Macaca mulatta: one gene and its partner. The protein of the gene in region 1 interacts with the protein of each later gene in a pairwise test. Links are inferred from orthologs where the notes say so. Each region holds a gene or a part of one and is shown in the gene's direction. Other genes may lie near its edges.

The links. The genes of interacting proteins can lie anywhere in the genome.
Region 2: the proteins of PRR13 (region 1) and LGALS3 interact in binary tests that used the Homo sapiens proteins (3 or more experiments, as listed by UniProt). The two-hybrid records come from large-scale screens. The link is inferred for Macaca mulatta from reciprocal best matches to the Homo sapiens genes PRR13 and LGALS3.

The regions. Positions count from the first base shown.
Region 1 is NC_133416.1:60,589,064-60,599,750, forward strand, and holds PRR13 (proline-rich protein 13), read left to right. Parts: upstream 1-3,980; 5' UTR 3,981-4,075; exon of another isoform or gene 4,076-4,083; intron 4,084-4,185; exon of another isoform or gene 4,186-4,862; intron 4,863-4,970; 5' UTR 4,971-4,990; coding exon 4,991-5,009; intron 5,010-5,488; coding exon of another isoform or gene 5,489-5,552; intron 5,553-5,696; coding exon 5,697-6,070; intron 6,071-8,589; coding exon 8,590-8,637; 3' UTR 8,638-9,186; downstream 9,187-10,687. UniProt on the Homo sapiens protein: Negatively regulates TSP1 expression at the level of transcription. This down-regulation was shown to reduce taxane-induced apoptosis.
Region 2 is NC_133412.1:128,271,702-128,279,244, forward strand, and holds part of LGALS3 (galectin-3), read left to right. Parts: intron 1-2,056; 5' UTR 2,057-2,060; coding exon 2,061-2,078; intron 2,079-2,732; coding exon 2,733-3,050; intron 3,051-4,943; coding exon 4,944-5,032; intron 5,033-7,242; coding exon 7,243-7,408; intron 7,409-7,543. UniProt on the Homo sapiens protein: Galactose-specific lectin which binds IgE. May mediate with the alpha-3, beta-1 integrin the stimulation by CSPG4 of endothelial cells migration.

The DNA.
Region 1 (10,687 bases):
TCTGACAAAGTGTCTAATATCCAGAATCTACAATAAACTCAAACAAATTTAGAAGAAAAAAAAAAAATCCCATTAAAAAGTGGGCAAAGGACATGAACAGACACTTCTCAAAAGAAGACATGCAGCCCACAAACATGAAAAAAAGCACATCATCACTGAACATCAGAGAAATGTAAATCAAAACCATAATGAGATACTATCTCATGCCAGTCAGAATGCTGATGATTAAAAAGTCAAGAAATAACAGGCCAGGCCTGGTGGCTCATGCCTGTAATCCTAGCACTTTGGGAGGCCAAGGTGGGTGAATCACTTGAGGTCAGGAGTTTGAAACTGCCCTAGCCAACATGGTGAAACCCCATTTCTACTAAACACACACACATACACACACACACTATATATATATATATATATATATATATTTATTTATTTATTTATTTTTCTGAGATGGAATCTTGCTCTGTCGCCCAAGCTAGAGTGCAGTGGCGCGATCTCGGCTCACCGCAAGCTCTGCCTCCCAGGTTCACGCCATTCTCCTGCCTCAGCCTCCTGAGTAGCTGGGACTACAGGTGCCCATCACCACGCCCGTCGAATTTTTTTTGTATTTTTAGTAGAGATGGGGTTTCACCGTGTTAGCCAGGATCGTCTCGATCTCCTGACCTCGTGATCCGCCCGCCTTGCCCTCCCAAAGTGCTGGGATTACAGGCGTGAGCCACCGTGCCCAGCCAATTTTTTGTATTTTTAGTAGAGATGGGATTTCACCATGTTGGCCAGGCTGGTCTTGAATTCCTGACCTTGTGATCCACTTGCCTCAGCCTCCCATAGTGCTAGGATTACAGGCGTGAGCCACCCCGCCTGGCCTAATTTTTTTGTATATTTAGTAGAGACGGGGTTTTGCTATGCTGGCCAGGCTGGTCTCGAACTCCTGGCCTCATGTGATCCACCTGCCTCGGCCTCCCAAAATGCTGGGATTACAGGCATGAGCTACCATGTTCTGCCTATATCCCACAAATTTTGGATCTAATATTTTCATTATGGCTTATTTCTTTTTGTGCTCTTTTGCCCATGCTGGAGTGCAGTGGCATGATCTTGGCTCATCACAACCTCCACCTCTCAGGCTCAAGTGATTCTCCCACCCCAGCCCTGAGTAGCCGGGACAACTGGGTGTGAGCCACCACACCCGGCTAATTTTTGTATTTTTATGCCCGGCTAATTTTTGTATTTGTATTAGAGACAGGGTTTCCCCTGTGGCCCACGCTGGTCTTGAACTCCTGGACTCAAGGAATCTGTCTGCCTCAGCCTCCTAAAGTGTTGGGATTACTGGCGTGAGCCACCACACCCGGCCTGCTTCTTTCTTCCTTCCTTCCTTCCTTCCTTCCTTTTTTTTTTTTTTTTTTTTTTTGAGACGGAGTCTTGCTCTGTTGCCAGTCTGGAGTGCAGTGGCACCATCTCAGCTCACTGCCATCTCTGCCTCCCGGGTTCAAGTGATTCTACTGTATCAGCCTCCTGAGCAGTTGGGATTACAGCGTGTGCCATCACACCCAGCTAATTTTTGTATTTTTAGTAGAGACAGGTGTTCACCATGTTGGCCAGGATGGTCTCAAAATCCTGACCTCATGATCCACCCACCTCGGCCTCCCAAAGTGCTGGGATTATAGGCATGAGTCACCGTGCCCACCTACTTATTTCTAAGTATTTAATTTCCATCATGGCTTATTCTTTCCGTTGTTATTTTAAGGCAATTTATTTATTTATTTAGAGATTGAATCTTGCTCTGTCACCCAGGCTGGAGTGCAGTGGTGTGATTTGGGCTCACTGCAACCTCTGCCTCCCAGGCTCAAGTGATCCTCCCACCTTACCCTCCTGAGTAGCTGGGACTACAGGCGTGCACCACCACTCTCGGCTAATTTTTATTTTTTATTTATTATTTATTTATTTTTATTTTTATTTTTATTTTTTTTGAGACGGAGTCTCGCTCTGTCGCCCAGGCTGGAGTGCAGTGGCCGGATCTCAGCTCACTGCAAGCTCCGCCTCCCGGGTTTACGCCATTCTCCTGCCTCAGCCTCCCGAGTAGCTGGGACTACAGGCGCCCGCCACCTCGCCCGGCTAGTTTTTTTGTATTTTTAGTAGAGACGGGGTTTCACCATGTTAGCCAGGATGGTCTCGATCTCCTGACCTTGTGATCCGCCCATCTCGGCCTCCCAAAGTGCTGGGATTACAGGCTTGAGCCACCGCGCCCGGCCTTAATTTTTTATTTTTGTAGAGATGATGTCTTACTAAGTTGCCCATTCTGGTCCTGAACTCCTGACCTCAAGTGATCCTCCAGCCACGGCCTCCCAAAGTGCTGGGATTACATGCATAAACCACTGTGCCCAGCCTGGATGACAGTTAAACAATTTTTTTTTCTAAAAAAAAAATCTAGCTGTATGTTTGCTTATATTTTACATCGTGGTCAGGGAATATGTATTGAACAGTTCTTTCAAAATTGAATTGCATCAGTTGAGACATGCTTAACTTAGAATGTGACCAATTTTTATAAATGCTCTAAGCATGCTTAAGGAGAATTAGCAGTCATTAAGTTTTGAGAGCATGGTTCAATGCATGTTCATCAGGTCAAGTTTGTTAATTGTATTGTGTGTGATTTTTTTGTTGTCGTTGTTTATTATTATTATTTTTGAGACGGAGTCTCACTCTATTACCCAGGTTGGAGTGCAGTGGCACGATTTCGGCTCACTGCAACCTCCGCCTCCCGGGTTCAGCGATTCTCCTGCCTCAGCCTCCCAAGTGGCTGGGATCACAGGCACATGTCACCACGCCCGGCTAATTTTTGTATTTTTAGTAGAAACGGGGTTTTACCATATTGGCCAGGCTGGTCTCGAACTCCTGACCTCGTGATCCGCCCGCCTCGGCTTCCCAAAGTGCTTGGATTACAGGCATGAGCCAATGTACCTGGCCACTTGTATTGTTTTCTTTAAAAAAAAAAAAAAAAAGTCTGGGCGCGGTGGCTCACGCCTGTAATCCCAGCACTTTGAGAGGCCGAGGCAGGCAGATCACGAAGTCAAGAGATGGAGACCATCCTGGCCAACATGGTGAAACCCCATCTCTACTAAGAAATACAAAAATTAGCCGCGCCTGTAGTCCCAGCTACTCGGGAGGCTGAGGCAGAAGAATCGCTTGAACGCGGGAAGCGGAGGTTGCAGTGAGCTGAGGTCGCACCACTGCACTCCAGCCTGGCAACAGAGCGAGACTCCGTCTCAAAAAAAAAAAAAAAAAAAAAAAAAAAAAAGAGGCCATTGTAGCAATTCAGGGGAGAAATGAATCCAGGCGAGAGATGATGGGAGGTTTAGACCAGGGAAGACGGAGAGAAGTGGAGAGATTCCAGATGTATTTGTGAGACAAAACTGGTAATTTGGGGTAAGGGAGGTGAAGGAGACAGAGGGATCACGGAAGACCTCCTTGGTTTCTGGTTTAGGCTTCTTGACAGATGGCGGAGCTATGCAATTGAGAGAGGGAATCCTGGGAGAGATTATGAAATCTCTGTATTTTCCGCAAGAATGTTTGTTTGCTTCCCTTGCGAGTGTAAGAGGGAGCCGAGAACATTGAGGCTTGGGGCTAGGACTCAGCAGCTCCTCTGCCCTTGCCGAGAACTCTGTCTATATCTGTATTACAACACTTACCATAGTGTATTCACTTTACAAGGTATTGCACCCAGTGAACCATGACTAGCAGAGAGCAAGGGCAGAGTTTCTTCTCGGTGTCTCTAGGACTTTGCCCAGCAGCTGGCCCCGCCCCCTCTAGCGCTCTCCGCCTAGCTCCGCCCCCAGGAGATTTCCGGCTTCTCAGTACTTGCCTAGTCGTAAAGGGCTCCGGTCTGCAGCTAGAGCAACCGTTTCCTCCTCAGTTGGACCAGAGTGATTGATTAGTTTGTTGTCCAATCATCAGCCGAGTGGCCACATAATTACCAATTAGGCAGTAGCAGAGGCGGGTACCGAAGCACGGGGTCTGGGTGACTAGGTGTGACTAGGAAGTAAGAGCCGAGACTGCGAAGAACGCATCAAGTCCAGGCGGCGGTGGAAAGGTGACGTGGTATCTGAATTCCATGGGTTTATTCCTTTTCCCATTGCTGGGTTAAGAGCCCCTTCGCAGCTTGGGGCTAGGATCTTCATTTGCCTTTTTTCTTTTTTGGAGGAATTGGGCTGTGTCCATTTATTTAAGTATTTGAGGTTCTTGAGCAACTTCCTTCTTCGCCTCCAGGCGTATCCTTTTCTTAGCCTGAGGTGAGGTCCTCCCCAGGGAGAAAGTTGTTTGAGATCCTTTCTTACTCTGTGGGTGGTTAAAGGCCTCCGGACTCAGTTCCAGGAAAGGGGGATGAATGATGGGGGTGCCGAGACTCGCGGGCTATGCCCTCTTGCGAAGAGTTAGACGCTTCAACCTAGGTGGAGGGGCCCTGGGAACTAGATTCCTGTGTTAGGAACCAAGTAGGTATTGAGGGCGAAGAAACAAGTGGAAAGAGACATTTCTTTCTTTTTTTTTTTTTCTTCGAGGCGGTGTCTCGCTCTGTTGCCCAGGCTAGAGTGCAGTGGCGCGATCTCAGCTCACTGTAACTTCCGCCTCCCAGGTTCAAGCGATTCTCCTGCCTCAGCCTCCCGAGTAACTGGGATTACAGGCGCCCGCCACCGCGCCCGGCTAATTTTTAGATTTTTAGTAGAGACGGGGTTTAACGATGTTGGCCAGGCTGGTGTCGAATTCCTGACCTCGTGATCCACCCGCCTTGGCCTCCCAAAGTGCTGGGATTACAAGCGTGAGCCACCGCGCCCAGCCAGAAAAGAGATGTGTCTTATGTGGAAGTCGTGGTAGTTCTCCAGGTGGGAGAGCCTACTGTGGGGTGGAAGACGTTAGGGCTGGGCTCCGGTGCTAAGTCCACTTCCTACCTCTAGACTGTCATCTTTTTTGCCTCATTTCTTTCTCCTCAGGCTGGAGGACACACCTAAACATGTGGAATCCCAATGCCGGTAGGTGTTTGGGGGTTCTGTACGACCCCTAACCCTTTTTCTGATGGACTCTGCGTAACAGGAAGTTTCTCTATCAGCTGCCCCATCCCCGACCCGCCACACCCGCAAAAGCAAAGTCCTTAGTCTACAGCTGACCAGTGCTTTTTTATTTTATTTTATTTATTTATTTTTTGAGACGGAGTCTCTGTCGCCCAGGCTGGAGTGCAGTGGCGCGATCTCGGCTCACTGCAACCTCCGCCTCCTGGGTTCAAGCGATTCTCCTGTTTCAGCCTCTGGAGTAGCTGAGATTACAGGCGTGCGCCATCACGCCCTACTACTTTTTGTATTTTTAGTAGAGACGGGGTTTCACCATGTTGGCCAGGCTGGTCTTGAACTCCTGGCCTCATGTGATCTGTCCACCTCGGCCTCCCAAACTGCTGGGATTACAGGCTTGAGCCACCACGCCCCACCGGCCTGACCAGTACTTTTGTCTTCCTCAGAGTTCACTGTCTCCCTCCTCTCTCCAGCCCTTACGGGGACATTCCCCTTTTATCCTCAACTCAGGTTTGTCTCCCCTACCTTCTATTCTCCTTTGTCACTTTTCCATTTCCCTTTAAGTATTGGGTGAGAAAGAATCTCTTTCTTTTTGTTGTTTGTTGTCGGAGACTCTGGGGAATACTAATGTTTATAATCTGCTTCTTCCCCCAGGGCAGCCAGGGCCAAATCCATATACCCCCAACATCGGGTGCCCTGGAGGTTCCAATCCTGCCCACCCACCACCTATTAACCCACTCTTTCCCTCAGGCCCCTGTCCTCCTCCCCCAGGAGCTCCCCAGGGCAATCCAGCTTTCCCCCCAGGTGGGCCCCCTCATCCTGTGCCACAGCCAGGGTATCCAGGATGCCAACCCTTGGGTCCCTACCCTCCTCCATACCCACCTCCTGCCCCTGGAATCCCTCCTGTGAATCCCTTGGCTCCTGGCATGGTCGGACCAGCAGTGATAGTGGACAAGAAGATGCAGAAGAAAATGAAGAAAGCTCATAAAAAGATGAACAAGCACCACAAGCACCACAAGCGTGGCAAGGTCAGTACCCTCTGGAGCCTGGCTAGGGAAGGGGTGCCCCCTCAGAGGGACTAGGTAGGCAGGGGTTGGGTGAGGGGGATTCACATTCTGTGGACGTGGGGGATGACGATTGTGTCACTCTGGTCGATGATTCTTCCTTTTTGTAAAAGATTGCTACTGGGAAGAATCTGATTATCTTGAAAAGAAACATCAGGCTTCTCCTATCTGGGGGGAGCTAGGGTGAGCCTTAAAATAGATTTTTAGAATCAAAAGCCAAATCTTTTCTGCCCTACTCTCTCCCAGAACTTTTGCTCCCCTCCCCGCAGGTGCATATTCTAGCAAGTTGGACCCCCTCACTGACATTATCAAAACATCAATTAAAGTCATTCCTTTGACAAAGCAAAGTCTTATAATAATTAACAGAATAATAATATGGCCCTAGTTCCTGGAGTTCTTTCTCTCTTTCAGTGTTCTTAGGGCCTTGTGTTAATTACATGGGCCCTTTGCCCTATCATCCAGCAGAAAAAGTGAGGACAAGAGCAGTCAGTGACTCAGCCTCTAACAGCCTAGGACTAAGGAGGTTTTATACTCAGCCCCAAGGCTGAGTATCTTTGTTTTAGAGGACTGTTAAAAATTAGTAAGGATCATGCCTGTAATCCCAGCACTTGGGAATTATTAGCTGGGTGTGGTGGCGCATGCCTGTAATCCCAGCTACTCAGGAGGCTGAGGCAGGCGAATTGCTTGAACCCGGGAGGCGGAGGTTGCAGTGAGCCCAGATCTCACCACTGCACTCCAGCCTCGATGACAGACAAGACTCCATCTCAAAAAAAAAAGTGCAAGGATAAAAGCAACTCTGAGGTCAACTCTGGAAGGATTAAACCAATCTGCATCTTGATGAGGCCTCCATTTACATTTAACTGCCCAGTAAATTTATTTGCCTTGTGGATTCTAATTCCTGATTCTGGGTATTTGATAGAAGTCTGAAGAGAAGGCCAGGCACTGTGGTCCACACCTGTAATCCCAGCACTTTGGGAGTCCAGGGCAGGCAGATCACGAGGTCAGGAGTTCGAAACCAGCCTAGCCAAATGGCGAAACATGTCTACTAAAGATACAAAAAATTATCTGGGCATGGTGCTGTGTGCCTGTAATCCCAGGTACTCCGGAGACTGAGGCGGGAGAATCTCTTTTTTTTTTTTTTTTGAGACGGAGTCTCGCTCTGTCCCCCACGCTGGAGTGCAGTGGTGCAATCTCGGCTCACTGCAAGCTCCGCCTCCAGAGTTCACGCCATTCTCCTGCCTCAGCACCCCCCACCAATTAGCTGGGACTACAGGCACCCGCTACAGCGCCTAATTTTTTTTTGTTTTGTTTTGTTTTTGTTTTTTTTTGTTTTTTTTGAGACGGAGTCTCGCTCTGTCGCCCGGGCTGGAGTGCAGTGGCCGGATCTCAGCTCACTGCAAGCTCCGCCTCCCGGATTTACGCCATTCTCCTGCCTCAGCCTCCCGAGTAGCTGGGACTACAGGCGCCCGCCAACTCACCCGGCTACTTTTTTGTATTTTTTAGTAGAGATGGGGTTTCACCGTGTTAGCCAGGATGGTCTCGATCTCCTGACCTCGTGATCCACCCGTCTCGGCCTCCCAAAGTGCTGGGATTACAGGCTTGAGCCACCGCGCCCGGCTATTTTTTGTATTTTTAGTAGAGACGGGGTTTCACCCGTGGTCTCGATCTCCTGACCTTGTGATCCTCCCACCTCGGCCTCCCAAAGTGCTGGGATTATAGGCATGAGCCACCGCACCCAGCAGAGAATCTCTTAAACCCAGGAGGTGGAGGTTGCAGTGAGCTGAGATCATGCCATTGCACTCCAGCCTGGGCGACAGGGTGAGACTCCATCTGAAAAAAAAAAAGAAGTCTGAAGAGAATTGAGATTTAGTGGGGAAGAAGGGGGAGAAATTACCCTGGAGAGACTGAAAAATGTTTTTATTTAATAACTGTAGCATTGCTGGGAGTATGTGCTTAAGGAACATTTAATAGAACTCCCAGCCTTTTCTTACATCTTCCCCACTTTTTCCTATTGTGCTTTGGAAAAAGTAGAGATACGTGCACACACAACTGCTGTTTCTACTGTCTTCTTAGATTTGTAGAATCCAATTTCTTAAAATCATAGGACTTTGCATGCAGCTAATAAATAAGCATTTATAAGGTAACTGCTGTTTCCTGGCACCATACTATGCTTGGGCCTGTAATTTATTCCTTGCCTAGGCATCGATTCAGGTAAAGAAAGTTGGAAATTTGCTCCAAAGGCAATATGTTAAATTTTTAAAATTCTGTGTGATAATTTAGGATGGTTTAATCCATTCCTGTGTGCTCACTGCTGAAGGAAACCCTTGCTTTTGTTTAGGTACAGTCAGTTCAAGACTCCTGACCTTCTTAGGGAAGCAAGGGATACTTGGGTAGAGGGGTAGGGCACCAAAGAATGGCCCACGGAGTGATGAAAGGTCATTTGGATCTGATGCTTCTTTCCTCTTTCCCCTTTCCCCTTGCAGCATTCCTCCTCCTCTTCCTCCTCCTCTTCCAGCAGTGATTCTGACTGAATACAGGCCCTGGACCCTTCCCTCAAGTCTCACCAGTTCTGCTCTCCCATCAAGCTTCAGATGCCATGTTGTACTGGGGGAAAGTAGCCCTTGTGCTCCCCACCCCCTACCTCCACCTGAGCCTCACCCTGCTGTTGAGCCCTGAGTGGCTAGGGGAAATGGGAAGAGGATTGCCATGGCCTGGCCATCTTGTTGCTGCTTGGATAGATCATATAGCTAATGAATTAGGCAGGGGAGCTATTTTTTGAAAATGATGAACTAAATGTTGAAGACAAGTTTGAGATCTGTAAAATGTGATTTTTTTACTTCCGCTTATAATACTTGTGATTGGGGAGGTTTGCGGAAATTTAATTATGATGAAAAACCTCTATCTTTTTTGTAATGTTGCCATACTTGGGGAATTTAGTGGCAAATACATTCCCCAGCAGGCCTTTTGTTGGTTGCACTAACTGCAAAGTTGCTGGGAAGTAGAGTCCCTTTGGTCGATCAGCTTTGACTGCCATTTTGGAACCTTACCTTTCCTCCTTAGCCCAATATGCTGTCTCAGGTCCTATTCAAATAAAGATATTTCTCCTGGTCTCTGTTCACCTGTGCTATCACCTTGGCTGGGTATGGCACATTCTACAACTTTTGCTAATGTTCCACAGACCCTTTAAAGTGTATCAATTTTATAGAAGGGAACCAGAGCTTCACTGAGGAAGACACCATGTGATTCCTATGTTTTTTAAGTGGGAGAACTCTTCAAAATTGGGTCAGGCAGAGTGGCATGAATCTTTATTGTCTTCCCTTGGGTCAATGGATATAGGCCTTTAGCTTATGTTTTTTTAACTCTGGCTGCCCATCAGCTATGAGAGAGTAATATGGGGCTTTACCCCAAATTTATTGAATAATACTTATTTTTTAAAAATTTTTTTCCTAAAACTTTTTATTTTTATTTATGTATTTATTTATTTTGAGATGGAGTTTCGCTGTTATTGCGCAGGTTGGAGCGCAGTGGCGCAATTGTAACCTCCACCCCCCAGGTTCAAGTGATTTTCCTGCCTCAGCCTCCCAAGTAGCTGCGACTACAGGCACCTGCCACCATGCCCGGCTAATTTTGTATTTTTAGTAGGGACAGGGTTTCAACATGTTGGTCAGTCAGGCTGGTCTCAAACTCCTGACCTCAGGTGATCCACCTGCCTTAGCCTCCCAAAGTGCTGGGATTACAGGCATGAGCGACCGTGCTCAGCTAAGACTTTTTACATGTGTCCCTACAAATCAGTATATTTAAGAAACTGTGGGCCAGGCGTGGTGGCTCACGCCTGTAATCCCAGCACTTTGGGAGGCTGAGGCAGGCAGAGCACGAGGCCAGGAGTTCCAGACCACCAGCCTGGCCAACATGGAGAAACCCCATCTCTATAAAAATACAAAATTAGCCGCGCGTGGTGGCTCATGCCTGTAATCCTAGCTACTCGGGAGGCTGAGGCAGGAGAATCGCTTGAATCCGGGAGGCAGAGGTTCAGTCAGAATTGGAGCTCAAGACAGCCTGGCTTCTGAGTCTCTGCTCTTAACCCAATGGATTCCAGGCAGAAGCAGTAGTTTTACAAAGGTGCCAAGTTGCAAAAAGTGTACGATGAAAGGAGCTCCTGAACCTGAGTTCCTGAAAGCAGGAAATGAGGCTGCAGTTGGGGACATGGGGCTAGAGGAAGGAGTAGACTTAACAGATGTTTCTGAGGTGGAACCCATGGGTTTGGGCATTGAGTGCAGGGCTTGAGGAGGAACAGGGAAGAGGGAGTGTTTTGAGTTGGCTATACTGCATCCATAACTTCTCTGGAAAGAGTTCTATGAAATAAATGCCTGAGATCTTCTTATATTTTACAGCTAGCTTCTAATTTTATTAGAAAATCCATGGCTGGGCGCAGTGGCTCACACCTGTAATCCTAGCACTTTAGGAAGCCGAGGTGAGCGGATCACCTGAGGTCAGGAGTTCGAGACCAGTCTGGCCAACATGGTGAAACCCCGTCTCTACTAAAAATATAAAAATCAGCTGGGCATGGTGGCAGGTGCCTAT
Region 2 (7,543 bases), on another chromosome or scaffold:
CAGTGTGTATAAATGAAGCATGTTAAGCTCTAGGAGGAGCTCTGCCTGTTTGAGTTTTACCACAAAAATGTAATATTTTGTGCTTTTCTTTCTTTCTTTTTTTGAGACGGGGTCTCGCTTTGTCACCCAGGCTGGAGTGCAGTGGTGCAATCACAGCTCAGTGCAGCCTTGACCTCCTAGGCTGAAATGATCTTCTCACCTCAGCCCCTCAAGTAGCTGGGACCACAGGCTGCACCACCACACCTGGCTAATTTTTGTATTTTTCATAGAGACAGGGTTTTGCCATATTGTCCAGGCTAGTCTTGAACTCTTGGGCTCAAGCAATCCGCCCACCTTAGCCTCCCAACGTGCTGGGGATTACAGGCATGAGCCACGCCCAGCCAATATCTTGCATTTGAATCAAGTAGTGGACATTTATTGAATCCCTTGGGGCGATGTCATTTCTAAAAGTGATTGAGTAAATATCACAGGTAGGCAATCAAGGATATTCTGGTTGTTTCAAGGTCTACGTAATTCAGGCCATGGCACAGGTGATCCTGAGCTTAGGAAGAACTCACCCATGCCTCAGGGGCCCAACTGCCCTCCTCCCCTCACAGCTGGAGCACCTGCAACAGCTGTGAAGCATCTTGTGCTTTAGGAGCCTTGACATGGGAAGGAACAGGAGAAAGCAGGATTGATGTCTCCAGACCACCCCTTGTGGCAGCTTTGGGCAAGGCAAACCCTCTTTGGTAGCATCTTACACCCAAATATTTTTTTCTTTCACGTTGCCTGAATTTTTTCACCTTAGTTTGTTGTACTGCCAAAGATTTTATTTGGAATAACAAGTACCTTTAAAAAAAGAAAGCACATACAAACTTCAGCTGCCCTTTGAGGCTTAGCTCCAACAGCACTTTTCCTTTCCTTCTTAGAAGTAAGCTTTCTGCGTTTGAATTCCTACAGCACACATTCTAACTCATAGCATTCGTGACTTGTTATTTCACATTTCCATGGATGCATCTCATCTGCCTTGCTGGACTGTGGGCCCTTTGGCTTTTTTTAAAATTCTTAATCTTTATGGGTACATAGCAGGTATATATATTTATGGGCTACATAAAGATGTTTTGACACAGGTATGTAGTGCATGATAATCACATCATGGAAAATGGGGCATTCATATTCTCATTTATTTGTGTTACAAACAATCCAAGTATACTTTTAGTTATGTTCAAATGTACAATGAAATTATTGACTATAGTCACCCTGTTGTGCTGTCAAATATCAGGCCTTATTCATTCATTATAACTATTTTTGTCACCCATTAACTATCCTCACCGCCCTCCCACTCACCCACCCCCACTACCTTTCCCAGCCTCTGGTAACCATCCTTCTACTCTATACCTCTGTGGGCTCAATCGTTTTGAGTTTTAGATCCCATGGCCCCTTTGACCATGCAGATCATGGCCTATTCATCTTCGCACCTAGACAAGAGCCTGCGCAGTGCCTGACCAAGAGCAGGCATAAGTGTGTGCAAATAGAGGAATAAATAACAGGGCAGCAACTATGTCTGGAGGTCATTGTCTTTCCTGTCTCAGTAGGAATCAATCACTGCTGATCTTCAAAAACCCAGAGGAGGGGATGGGGCAGTTAGTGGGGACAGAGGGCAGATGGGCAAGATGAACACACCAAACCCTTTATAAGGAGTAAGGAAGGAAGGTGAAGAAGAACCAAAGAGAAACCATGACTGTTTACATTTTTCACCTGGAAAAGGGACAGGACCTTTTCTTCCTCCCTGCCTCCTCCTCCCTCATGCATTGTATGGCCTCTTGGTCTCAGGATTCAGAGCACAGGCTAGTGTGATGGAAGTTTAAACTTGTGAGTTATATTTAACTCACAATCTAGCTGGAAAGCATCCCTGCCCCTTGAGGAGATGTTGTGTGGTCCCACACTACTGACTTAGGCATAATGCCTAGAGATTGACTAGAACTGCACAATGAACTAGTGGTGAGGTTCAATTTAATGGAAATCGGTGAAAGCTTTCAGGATCAAATGATAACCTTTGTCTCTTTCTTTCTCTCAGGAAAATGGCAGACAATTTTTCGGTAAGTGTTTTATGCCTGTTTCTTACCCTCGATCAACTCCACATGGTTGAGGGTTGGGGGTTTTGTTTTTACCATGACTTTCCCTTTTCACTCTCCCACCGTGTGGCTTCCCCTAGACTCATTTGTCCAACGAGGGCTTGTGAGCTGGAGCCTTGTTTTTCCAGCAGCAGATTTGGGAAGAAAGCCAGGCAGAGCAAGGCCTGGGACTCACTTACAGTAACCCTTTCACCAAAAGGCCCAGGGCGGAAGGGAGTGGACTCTGCTGGCAGGAGCTGAGAAATCCTCTGAGTAGCGGGAAGCGCGGTACAGTCTGGGCATTCTGATGTTTGTGATTGTTTTTCTCACAGTGATTAAAAAATATGTGCTGTAAATAGAGGAGCGCTAGCTCCTGACTTGGGCTAATTATGAAAATGCAGCCCTCCCTGATTTGAGACCTTGGGAGGCAAGAACAAAGTGAAAAAGCATATGTAACCCCAACGTCTAATTTTAGTCTTAGACACTCAAAACTATTAACAAGTGGAAAAAGTATAATGATATGCATGTAATGCCTTTGCTATATTCCTCTCCTTCTTAGATCACATATTCCTATTTCCCTGAAAATTCTGCTTTTGAGAATGCTTTCTGTCCTGTAATTGTTTATGTCTTTCTTTACAGCTCCATGATGCCTTATCTGGGTCTGGAAACCCAAACCCTCAAGGATGGCCTGGCCCATGGGGGAACCAGCCTGCTGGGGCAGGGGGCTACCCAGGGGCCTCCTATCCTGGGGCCTACCCCGGGCAGGCACCCCCAGGGGTTTATCCTGGACAGGCACCTCCAGGCGCCTACCCTGGAGCACCTGGAGCTTATTCCGGAGCATCTGGAGTCTACCCAGGGCCACCCAGTGGCGCTGGAGCCTACCCATCTCCTGGACAGCCAAGTGCTCCTGGAGCCTACCCTGCCACTGGCCCCTATGGCGCCCCTGCTGGGCCACTGGTGAGATAGCATTCCTCCTTTCATGTACTTGGCATGCAGAGGGCTTCAGGGAGACCCTGAGCTTTAAACCTGCTGTGACAGCCACTTCTCAAGGGCCAGCCATGGGCATATGTTGGTAGAATCGAAAAATTAAGTGTTCATGTTGAGCTTATTGTGTGTGGTTAGTATAAACAGAAGGTAATGAATATTTTGAAGGCACTGATAAAGCTGCTTATTAATATAAACCAAAATTGTAGTAATGGAGAACATTTTGGTTATTATTAACACTTACTGAGTACATGTCAATAATATGCATCTACCTGGATGATCTAATTTAACCCCATTACCACCCTATACGATACTGTTAATAACCCCATTTCACATGTGGGGAAATGGGGCAATACAGAAGTGATATAATTTGTCCAGGGTCATTGAGCAAACAGGTAGAGGAACCAGGGTAATCTGGTTTTGAGAAACCTTCTAAAGATAATTTTGTGATCTAAGGGTTGAATTTTCATGCAAATTAAAATATGTCTTAGCAAGTGAATTCTAAATGTAAAACATAACTCCGTGGGGGATCCAGATACATCTCAGCCACAGGATCCTTCCTTTCCAGATTTATAGTCTAGTTAGATGATAAAACATATAATAAATATGAGGAAAGAGCTAAGTACCAGTGTGGGATTAGACCATTTCAGAACTATGCAGAAGATGGCACAAGATAGCATTGTCTCCTTTTAGGTCGGTTCAGAGTAGAAAGACTTGGGGGAGTGGGTGGCATTGAGATGGGCCTATACCAGAGATGGTTAGTCAGTTGCAGAGAGAGGGGGACATGAAGGCTGTGGAAAGGAACAGGCAGATGTAAGAGAGATGACAGAGGAAGAACCCCCAGAACCTACTGATTATGTCTTAGAAGACATAGAAGACTGACTTTTCAAGGCTGAGCAATTAGAGCCATCAGCAAAGCTTTAGCCCAAACTGGGAACTCATGAAGGGGAACTGATGGGGGAGGGGGAGGGAAGACCATTCTAGTTCACACTTGTTGAATTTGAGGCACTAGCAGCAAATCCAGGTGGGAAGAAGTACAGGACTAATACACATCAGGACTAGAAAGAAAAGATTTGGATAGGCTGGCTGTGGTGGCTCATGCCTATAATCCCACCACTGTGGGAGGCTGAGGCAGGAGGATCACTTGAGTCCAAGAGGTCGGGGCTGCAGTGAGCTATGATCACACCACTGCACTCCATCCTCAACAACAGAGACCTGGATTTTTGAAACCTTGTCTCAAAAAATGAAAAGGCTGGGGTGATAGTTAAACCCAGAGGGAAGCCTTAAAAAGGGAAAGAAAAGAGGCCATAAATAAATAGAGCTTTGGGGATATTCACAGTACCTTGAATGTAGATGGTCAATAAACATTTGTGGAATGAACCTCAGTTTTAACAGTGTTCATTCTATAAATATTGAGTATCTGCCACGTGCAAAGCACTCTGCTGGAGCCATGTGAGTACAGACCATATGAGAACCCACAAGCCCAGTATGTGATATGCTGCTTGCCCCCAGGAAGCAGAATAACCACAGTGAAGCAAGTGACATGACAGGGCCTTAAGAGTGATACAAAAATGTTAATGTTGATCACAAGATCTAGCTTAAGCCTTTCCAAAAAATAGCCAACATGAATGAGTAGATTGGGATGGCCATAGTAATGAGACTTACTGATGGCTTTCTTTTCAATTATTTGTACATGTAAGGAGCCTTATCTCTTTGGCCCCTGGGCAAAGTGGCCTGAGAGTCTGGACAGATGGCATATACTAGAGTTATGTGTTTTTCACACATATTAATAGTAATGGAACTTCAGCAACATCGTTTTCTTTCCCTAAAGAAACATGACTCCCATATGTACTTGTTCATTCCCAGTCTGTGCCTTATAACCTGCCTTTGCCTGGAGGAGTGGTGCCTCGCATGCTGATAACAATTCTGGGCACGGTGAAGCCTAATGCAAACAGGTAAGGAGAGCAAAATTAACAAGCCTACCCTATTTGTAGATTGGTTTTTGAATAAAGAATGGCCTATTTTGATTTTTTTTTTCTTGCCCTGTCTTACGGTGCTATTTTGAATTTTAATAAAATTTTTAAAAACTACATATTTAGAATCTTGGCTATACCATCATATAGGATTATCCCATAAATCCGTACATATTCCCATATAATTTTGCTAAGCATCGGGGCACTCATAGTAAATGGTAACACACCTTATTCTATACTTTGATATGTATTATGTCAGCTAATCTCCATGGTTGAAGGCAGGATAAGGAATATTGCTTTCCCCTTTTTATAGACAAAACTGAGGCTCAGGTTCTACAGATGATCAGTGGTAGGCCTGGGAACCCGTCTTTTGAGTAGATACTATTTGCTTATGGGTTTGAAGAGATTCTTCAAGTTAAAAACTTCATCATAATAAATCAACCTTTGCTATTGGAAGTGGTTTGATTGATGAGGTGGGCTAGGATGGGGTGAGGCTTTATTTAGGAAAATACATGCTAATTATGGCTGTCCTGGGCCACTTGGCCCTGGTTGTCACCACTGGTTATGTAGTATTTACATATTATACAAAGAAGCTGGCCATGTCCTGAAACCATCCGGGATGCTTGCGCCTGAGGTTAGTGGAAGAATCTCTAGGTCTTATGAACAGTACCTAAATGGTACAGATTCAAGCCATGTACACAGGTTTATGCAAGAATCCATAAACAGTCTCAGTGTCTGTCACCTTGCTCCACATCCTGCCATCAAGAGATGGACTTCACTTCTGATCTGATAATTTCACATTGAAATGCTCATTCGCTCCACCTCAGCCAGCCTCCCCTGTTTCTGCAATGGTAGTCACTATCCTAAGCCAACCCATCTTTCCACACAGCCTAGACAATTTCTGTAAGCACAGAACTTCCCCATACAATAATGCCCGTCTCATAGCAAATTACAAAATATATATATCCTCTATGTCCTTATCCGTATTTCCTCCCAACATCACATAGAACCCAGCACACCTTATCCTGTGCACACAGCACTCATGATTAAATATCTGCTCTCCTCCTCCCACAACCCCTAATGCACACTGAATACCCAGTGTGGTATCCTTGTCTTGTTAGAGTCATTTCACTGGAAAGTTTAGCTCTAATGCTAGAGATGTAGATTGAGACTGGCAGATCAAAACTAATTCTGGTTGAAATGGTTAATGGTAGTAAACTAAAAAAACTGTTGCTTAGTCCTACAAATTCTATATGACGAACTGCATAGAAAAAAAAAGTACTTAAGGTGACAGAGATGACAACATTGTATATTTAGTCAAATACAAATTCTATTGCTGTTTTTTCCTTACAAGTTTAATCACTGGAAGATCATTTGTGGTTGAATGTGACTTTTACTGGGTGAATCAAAATACAGAGAATCTTTGTTAGTTGGTCTCGAGTGCAGACCTGGCTTTAAAATAAGAATACCTACTGATGATTCTGGTGTTACTGCTCTATAGAGCACACTTTGAGAAACTCAGGGATGGGGTTAGTCAAAGAGGACTTGTGTTTGCATTAACATCCAGGGAGAAGGAACAGGGTCAAAAAGCTAAACTAGCAATTTCATTGGTTCCAGCTCACATCATAGAATGTTTACCACATTTACTATCATGACTTTACAACTTAGCAACAAGATACTGAATATTAACTACCTTATCTCATCCTTGCTGTTTTAGAGGAACTAGGGCTTCTGGTTAATTACGAGGAAGCCAGGCATTTGATGGCTGTTAACTATATAGCTGGCTTGCCTTTACCAGGTATTGAAAGCAAACTGGAAGAGCAGGAAACATTATCTATAGTAAGGGATAAAGTATCCTCAGAGTGGCTCTAAACCTCTGTAAGAAAACCTCGAAGGGTTTTCATGAGTCTGTAAAGGAGGCATTACAGATGAATGGAAATATGATCGAAGACAATGAGGCAAAAAAAATTCAACATATATTGTCTTGCTTACCTTTAGATTTTATGATAGTACATAGAATATCAGGTGTAGGATACTTTCCAGTTTGAACCCATTCTGATTTGCTTTCTGTTCAGAAAAATTTCCTAGGTACTGTATTATGAAATTATTTGCTTTTTAGAAAATTATATTCTTTACTTCGTGTAGATATACAGTTTTAATCATTTTAATAACTGGTCTTTGGTTTAAAACAGAATTGCTTTAGATTTCAAGAGAAGGAATGATGTTGCCTTCCACTTTAACCCACGCTTCAATGAGAACAACAGGAGAGTCATTGTTTGCAATACAAAGCTGGATAATAACTGGGGAAGGGAAGAAAGACAGTCAGTTTTCCCATTTGAAAGTGGGAAACCATTCAAAGTAAGTTATTGCTACTATTATATATTGATAATGTGCATTTCTCATGAGGAATCACTCTAAAACCACAAAGCACTTGAAATGAGTTTTTATCACCTGTCCTAAGGTGCCTAACCAGTGTATCTTCTCCCTGCCCAG